Rattus norvegicus: one gene and its partner. The protein of the gene in region 2 purifies or fractionates together with the protein of the main gene of each other region. This does not show direct contact. Links are inferred from orthologs where the notes say so. Each region holds a gene or a part of one and is shown on either strand. Other genes may lie near its edges.

Region 1 (3,812 bases), on a different chromosome or scaffold from region 2:
TTGATTTCACATTTTTTTTTTTTTTGGTTTTGTTCCCAGTAAAGGTAGACTAGAGTAGATAAGATTTGGTTACTAAGTGCAGTATTTTAATCCATATCACTTTTCCTCCAAAGCACACATACTTAGAAGCACTTACACCTTTGATCCGGTAGCAACTAGGTATTTACAAGGGGAATATTCCAATGAGTTTATTTTCTTAGAAGCATAGTTCTTCATACCAGAAATAGTCATGTTCAGAGGTAGACAGAAAACCACTGAAAGGCTCTTTGGTTTGTATCGTTCTCTTTTGGCCAGAATTGGAAGTAGCTGTAAGTAGTACGAAGTAGACTATTAGAGCTTATGACTTTTGTGCATTATGAGAGCAAAACATCTTTAGTTGTGTGTAGTTTCTATAAAGTTTAGAGCCTGAGCTACCGTATACTATTCTTTTAAACCCTTACTGGTTTATAGGTGTCTTCTGAGACCTTTTTCATTATGGTGATATATTTGGATTTATTTAGGCATTGAAAAGACTGACCCATTCTATCATTCGTCTGGTGGGCTGGAGCTGTATGGAGAACCAAGACACACAACATACCGCTCAAGATTTGATCTGGACTACCCTAGGTCTCCCTTGCCATTGCAGAATAGGTAAGAATTTATCAGGTCTGGGTGGCATAAGCAGTAACATGTCAGCAAGAAGTAGATTGTTAGAGTTTATAACTTCTTTGCATTGTGAGAGCTAAGAATCTTTAGTTATATGCAGTTTCTGTGGAGTTTAGAGCCAGAGCGACTTTTTATTTGTAAATGGTTTCTAAAGGCATAGAAAACAATTTATAAATGGTTTATAGATGTATACTGCAGTTAGACATTGGAAAAGTATTGATTACCATCCAATACAAAAAAGAAAATAATACTGTAGATCTGTGAAAAGTTGCTTAACACAAATCCTGCATATTCTGATCACCTCTGAAGGGCTTGTGCTGGGCCTTCTCATAATGGCATCTTTAAATTTATTGGCGATTTACTTGTTATCCTATATTTAGAAGTCTGCTCAGGCAGTGTATAGAGTGGGAGGGGGTGGGGGTGGGGTGGGGGAGGGGCATGGGGTGGGGGTGGAGAGGCAGGCTGTCAGTTTTTCTACATTGTTTCTAGCAAATTGGATTCCTGAATATAATTTAATCCATAGGTACCCGGGTGCTCCAGACTTAAATTCTACTTCAATGGCTTCTTCTCAACTTCACCAGTACAATCCTGATAAATCTCTGACAGACTATGTCACTCGGCTAGAGGCACTGAAAAGGCGACTTGGAGCTATACAGTCAGGTGCTGGATCTTAACCACTTCTCTGTAGCGGCAGTACACTTGTGCCTTTCTCTATCTCCTCAACATGCTTCTGCAGGTTAATCAAACCTTTTAGCTCAGTGAAGAAATTCCACGGTGTCCCAGCTTAAACTCTGACCAGCAGAGAACTATCTCTCCTGTGTTCCAACAGCACCCCTGACAGTGATTTTGTAGTCTTCACTTGGATTAGACAAAATGCATGATGGGTACCATCTGAGGCCCAGCCCAGAACCTGTTCCTAAGTAGAGTATGGTAGAAAGCAGCAATGTGTAGAAGGCAGAGCAAGCCCTGCCCAAAGCAGGTAATGTAGCGATTGTCTTCATTGTCCTTCCACATGGTATCCCAACAAGCTTTGCCTTGCAAAACACTAAGTATCATCATACCTCCCCTCACCATATGAAATGTGTTCCGTAAAGTGACTCAGCAGTTAAAGGCCCTGCCTCCAAGCCTGAGTATCTGAGTTCAATCCCCACAACCCACAAGGTGTAGGAGATGACCAACTCCTACAGGTTGCTCTCTGCCCTGCACTGTGGGATATCACCTACACACATAGATAAAAATGTAATTTTTAAGATTTTGTAAGAATAATTTTACTCAGAACTATACACAAATTGTCATACTTTATGTAGAGGAAGATTTCATTCATCATAGGAATGCTTCCATGATTTCATTCACTCACTACTGGTCCAAAGACTGGGTCGATTTAGTTTAAGCTATTGTGCTAGCCCTGCTCTGATGGATTCGTTTTGCTTGTTTGTTTTTATTCATTCTATATGTATGAGTGTTTTGTCTCCATGTGGTCTGTGTACCACATACATGCCTGATGCCTGCAAGGGCCAGAAGAGGACATCAAACCTCCTCGGACTGGAGTGAGCTACTGTGTGGTTGCTGGGACTCAAACTCAGGTCCTCTAGGAGTGCTTCTAACAGCTAAACCGTCTATTCTTCAGCCCCTGGTCATTTTTTAAGGACTCTTTTTCTATTGATACCACATACTGTGGACCACAGTTATTTAAAGGTAGTTCAGTTCTTCATTCAAGAAGTCGGGTATTTAACCCAAGTAACCTTCGTGTGCTCATGAAATTCATCAGCACTGACTCTCTCTTCCACTGCTGTAGGGTAGTCAAGGTGACCTCTAAATATAGTCAGCCTCTTGGAGCTCAATTTAAGCTGAGGGCAGATGGCTTTGTGTGAAGAACACTGTTGTTTAGAGACAGACTTGTCGTTCCCGGCACCCAGTCTCATAACTGCCAGTAACTGCAGCTCCAGGGAACCCAGTGACTTAGGGCACTCTGTGCTGCATTCACACACACACACACACACACACACACACACACACACACACACACACACACAGCATACATGTACACACATCTGGCTGCATATTGGTTGTCATATTGAGCACTCAAGCTCAGATTGTTAGACTTGCCAGCACCACAACCACTGGAACACCTCACGGGCCCCTGGCATTTTGAGATGGTTTTAAACAGACCCATCTGCCCATGTCGTCTGGCTGCCCTCAAACAGGTACGAGTCTAATTGTTTTGTATTTTATTTTACAGGGTCGACTACTCAATTTCATTTTGGCATGAGGAGATAATCCTTTGAAATACTTATTGAATATTAAATGGATTCCCTTTTGTAAATCAATGGCTCTTTTGTGCTTTTGTATTGTGAATATTCAACGGGACCAATACATACACAGCTTATGATTGTATACAAATCCTCAGCAGCACATGAAGACAAACTGGAGTTTGTGTATATAAGCATTGTGTGTGTTCATGCACAGTAATCATTAAATTACATGTATATTGTGGAATGCTAATTTAAATGATTAAATTATAAACTTTGTGTATTTATCGGAAGGGTGAAAAGATTAAACTTTTTCAAATGGCAATGCTGCCGGATGCATAGCGTGCGGTGTCCTGCGCTTTTCTTACAAAGCTACTGAAGTTACAAGTTTCTGCTTCATAGATTTGCTACTGGTGATGAAGACAACATGTCACTTGTAGAGACCTATTTTTGTATAATGGTCTAAGTTTTGAACTTTATGGGTATTTTGTCAAGTACTGAAATAAAAATGACCTCACCATTTTCACTGTACTGTAGTGGAACCTTCTTGATTTTTCACCAAGCCACAACTTGTGGTCCCTGTCATCTTGTTACTTGTCTCAGCTCAGGTTCCAAAAAGTGGTTTCTCTCTCCCTCCATTAAAGGACATTTTTAATGCCACACTAAGGTGGCATTAGTGTTTATGATTAGTCCATGTTTTATTCTATTTAGTGTTCTTGAGTCCAAAGACACAAATCTAGACACAGAAATCAGCTCTCAAAGAGCATCAAATTGTATCCGTGAGAGTGTAGCAAAATTCAGGAATCCTCCTGCTACGCCAGCCAAATTCTAAATGGAAAAGTCTCAGAGAGAATACAGTTCTCTAGAGGCCTCCCTACAACACTGACTAAAATGGCAGTGGTATTGCTCACATCTGGA
Region 2 (4,492 bases):
CCAGAAAGTTCTTGGGGAACTGAGCAAGCCAGGACTGTGAGAGGATGGAGACAAGATGATCAAGTTTCGGTTCAAGAATGAGGGAGGTGGGTAGTGTCTCTTAAACCCCTCTGTTGGTCACAATCAGGGTCTCCAATCAGAGTAGATACTTTGGAACATCTGCCCCTGATCCTGGCCAAGGCCCAGCAGCAAGACAGCTGGCCCCCTGGGACCTTGCCTAGCAAGGGGGCTGCTCTCTATGGGGACACAAAGAGCCACAGGACAGGATTAGGATAATGGGGTGGGAACCCAAGCAGCAGAGGGCAGTGTCTGGGGACTGTGTCCTGACCCTGTCAGCCAGGGAAGGTCACAGACACAGGAAGAGCTGCTCTACTTGGGCCAAGGCAAGGGTCCCCCAAGGAGGGGCCAGGATGTCCGGGTCTGTTTCCCCATACGCAAGTGGGAAACCATACCCCAGAGACTACAGGACACTGGCTGTCACCCCTATGCCCCCTCCACCCATCCCCCACATTCATGCCCTGATTTTCAAAAGCAGGCTTGTCCCTTGGGCCACAGAACCATCCCTGTATGTTTTAGAGTCCATCTTACCAAGTGCAGAGCTCACAGTTTGCAAGCCACATTTGCTACTCAGAGCAACACCAGGGGCAACCAGCATGGCCGTGCATTTTATAAAGATGTTTGGCTCCCAGCTGCTGGCCATGTCTCATCTCAGGAAACTGCCTGACCCTAAAGGTCTTGCCCACCTCCTGAAGGTGATGGACATGAGGCCCCTTCCCTCTGAGTCTGAGCAAACCACATGCTGTAACCAGCAGGGTCTTCCCAGCTTACTTACCCCTCCCTCCTTGTAACTAAACTCCATGGGCAGCCAGGGACAGGGCTGGGCAAAATTCACCAAGCACCACTCAGGAGCTAGCATCTCTCTCCCTCTCCTTGACAAAGAAGACCTTAGACCACCAATCTAGAAGCCACCAGGGCCCAGTGGCTCCTGGCTCCTGGGAAGGCTGGGCAAAGACAAGCTCTGCTAAGCAAACTTCCCGAGAGCTGAACAATCCAGTTCAGGAAGAAAGCACAGTGTAAGCACAGACTTCCTCTGGGGCGGGACAAGCCCTCTTCCTCCACCAGGGCCAGGCTACCACAGTCAGGAACTTAACAACGCTCATTCTAATGACCTGCCTCCCCAGGAGGATTCCATGCAAGTGTCCGAAGGCTGCTCACCTTGGCGAATGAGGATCCTGGATAAAAAGGTAACAGAGTAGGGACTACTCCAGCACCCAACCCCTTTCATCTCAGGGATTTTAGGATCCAGCAGGCTTGTTTGCCAGGCATTCCCTACAGTGGTTAAGGCCCTCTGGGGTCTTTGCACACTATTCCCTATGCCCTGAGAAAAGCCCACTGCTGCTACAGACACATGCAGTGTGTCTCCATCTTCAAAAGACCAGCAATGAAACCTCAGGGGTCCTGGCACTTTGGGAGGTAAGACTGGGGGATTGGGGAGTGCCTTAAGGACTTAAATACCAAGAATGCCAGTGGGGACAGGGTGCCCAGAGACTTGTCCTGGATACCATGGGAGATCATTGTCTCCCTTTGCAAGGCAAAGGACCATCAGAACTCAATTTCGTGAGCTTGGGTCTTGCTGTGCCTCAGAGCCAAACACAGAACCCTGGACACCCAGTGGAGGCCCTCCCCTACCCAGGTGGCAAGACTAGCCACAAGGAGGTCGCCTAGTGGAACATCCAAAGGAATTAGCTGCAGGGTCGGTAGGGTAGAGTAGAATCCAGAGCCAGAGGCTGGCAGGGCGCTAAGAAACTAGGCAGCCAGAAAGCGCTGGCCAGGGGGAGGCAGCAAGGAAGGCAGCCAGATCATTCCTGAAGATGACTTTCTGTGACCCTGCCCTTGAAAAATTGAGTGCCCTGCCCCTCTCAGACAGCCGGTGAGAATAAGTGCCACCTGGTAGAAGTGAGGGCCAGGTGCAGCTCTGCTCCCTCCCTCCCCTGTTGCCTAAAGCAGGTGCTGCTCATGGACTCTAGACAATGTTGGCTGGGCTCAGGTCATCCAGTCCACTTTCCTCAGCTTGGGTTATTGAAGCTGTAGGCACTCCCTGTGGACATCTTGGGCAACAACTGCACCTGCCAATCTATCCTGCAAACGTCCCTGCTTCTCTGAGTGCCTAAGATAGAGACATCCACCCAGGCCTGGATGGGTTTACAAATCGACACCAGTCATTCCTGGGGGCTCCTGAGTCTCTTGTCACAGCTGACTCACACCAAAAGGCAGGCTCCCAGCTTGCCTACTCCTCCTGTGGGGACTAATACCTAAGTGTTGTCCCTCCATCCCAAGCGCATGGCCTCGGGGAGCTCTTAAGTTGGTACACTCCATATTCCAAGTGTCCCCCACCACATGCCCCACTAAGCCCCAGCAGAGTCTCTGAACTGAAAGGACTGACTCCCAGTCTGGTATGTGATTAGCCCTTCCTTGCCTCCCTGAGGGTCACAGTGGCACCAGCCCTAGGAGTCCTGCGTGCGGGGAGGTTACTCACACGGTGAAGTGGTACACGAAACACTTCCAACCCGTGGGGCGCTCGAGGAAGTTGTAGACGCGGCCCTGGATGTGGGTGCGCGCCAGCAGCGGGCGACGCGTACTGTAGATGGAGACGCGCGGGTCAAGGCTCACCCGCGGACGTGGGCCGAGGTCTGCAGGGGCCGGGACGGGCGACACAGGGGGCGACATGGGGGGCGCGAGCCCTGGAGCTCCGGTTGGTGCGATGGGCGCGTAGACCGTGCCTCCCGTCGGGCCACCTTCGGCCAGCTCCAGTGAAAAGGGACACTTCTTTGCTAGTCCCGCGCTTCCCCGCCGGGCGCCTAGCAGGCGGCCCCAACCCGCGCGCTTCCTCTCAGCATTGGGCGGGGAGGAGGCCGTGTCCATGGCCAGACAGGACCCCGGACCCCGCCGCTCCTCAGAGCAGAGATGAAGGCAGCGCAGAGCGCAGGGCGCAGTGCGGGTGGCCTGCTGCCAGCCCAGCCACGGGGGGCCGCTGTCCGCTCCGCCTGGGGGCGGGGGCGGGGCTGGTCCCCCGGGATGGCATGTCCCGCCCCCAGAACGCCCCGCCCCCGGGCGCCACCGCGCGCCTACCTGCGGCCTGGCTCAGCCAGCGGGCTACCTGCTACGCCAAGGCATGCCAGTCTGATCTCCGCATTCCGGTCGGTGCGCACCTGCTGGGCGCACGTGCTTCCCCGCACCCCGAGGACCGCCAGTCTGCTTGGCTCTAGGGTCCTCTAACTTGGGACCAGCAGATACCACCACCACGAATCAGGTCGACCACAATCACCCTTTTTCTCGCCATCAGAACCCTCCCTAGAGAGGAAGCAGGAGGCAGAGAAGGGCATCCTGGGCCACGTATGGATACTTTCCAGCACAGGATGAGGAAGTGTTGGCCCGGAGAACACTGAGCACCCTCGGGTGTCCAGAAGCCTCCGCTGGCGGCAGAGAATGTGAAAATCCCTTCCCAGTAGTTAATCACGGTCCAGTAAAGCAGTGGGATGGAGGAAATGGGGACTGACATGAGTGCCACTCAATGAGTGTGGGCTAAAAGGCAAGTGCTAGATTGTGGGCTTTACTTGTAGACACCGCTGGTGGGTCTGCCTGAGCGTTTATGTTTACTCCCTTTAAGTTTGTAGCTCCCCAGAGACACACAGAAGACCGCTTCTTGTCCTGTGGTGGTGTAAGACCAGAGTCAGAAGGTTTATGCAGCTGGCTCTTGCTACGCTGGCCTTTGTGTGGGGTATAAGGGCACCTGCATCCCATGACAATCACCAAATCCCATTCTCCTGTGATCCGCCAGGCCCGACTCTCACACCACGCACAAGAATAACTTTCAGATACTGTCTTTGTTAGCTTCAATTGTCAACTTGGCACAGCCTAGGGTCATCTGAGAAGAGAATCAGTTGAAGGACTGCCTAGATTGGGTTAGCCTGTGGGTGTGTCTGAGGAAGATTGCCTTGATTGTGTTCATTGATGTGGGAAGACACAGCCCACTGTGGGCGGCATCTGTTTCCCGGGCAGGTGGTCCTAAGCTTTATAAGAAGGCAAGCTGAGTATGAGCCCGAGAACAGGCAGGCAGCGTTCCTCTGGGTTTTCTGCTGAGCTTCCTTGGTTGTGAATGAGTTCTTTGATGGGAGTTGGTGCTATGTGGAATACTGAGCAAGCCTGTCTCCAGGTTCCTGATTGAGGTCCTTCTCTGGCCTCCCTTTGAAGATGGGCTGTAACCGGTAAGCTGAAATAAATCCTTTCCTCACCCAAGTTGCTCTTGGTTCTGGTGTTTATCGAAGCAATAGAAGGAAACAAGAACAGGTGGATCAAAGGCTTTGGTATAAAAATTGAACCTGTGCAGAAAGAACAAGGGTGAGGGGCCATTGGTATAGCCAGAGGTAGAGTATGTGCCTAGTGCATGCAAGGACCTGGGTCTGATGAGGACCGGGGGGGGGGGCACGGGGGG

What was found.
Region 1: the proteins of Kcnq1 (region 2) and Akap9 purify together in Homo sapiens (affinity purification with western blotting; 3 studies listed by BioGRID and IntAct, with this or other methods). This does not show direct contact. The link is inferred for Rattus norvegicus from reciprocal best matches to the Homo sapiens genes KCNQ1 and AKAP9.

The regions. Positions count from the first base shown.
Region 1 is NC_086022.1:31,011,088-31,014,899, reverse strand, and holds the end of Akap9 (A-kinase anchor protein 9), read left to right. Parts: intron 1-500; coding exon 501-630; intron 631-1,168; coding exon 1,169-1,305; intron 1,306-2,884; coding exon 2,885-2,922; 3' UTR 2,923-3,425; downstream 3,426-3,812. UniProt on the Homo sapiens protein: Scaffolding protein that assembles several protein kinases and phosphatases on the centrosome and Golgi apparatus. Required to maintain the integrity of the Golgi apparatus. Required for microtubule nucleation at the cis-side of the Golgi apparatus.
Region 2 is NC_086019.1:207,719,697-207,724,188, reverse strand, and holds the start of Kcnq1 (potassium voltage-gated channel subfamily KQT member 1), read right to left. Parts: upstream 2,992-4,492; 5' UTR 2,923-2,991; coding exon 2,537-2,922; intron 1-2,536. UniProt on the Homo sapiens protein: Pore-forming subunit of the voltage-gated potassium (Kv) channel involved in the regulation of cardiomyocyte excitability and important in normal development and functions of myocardium, inner ear, stomach and colon.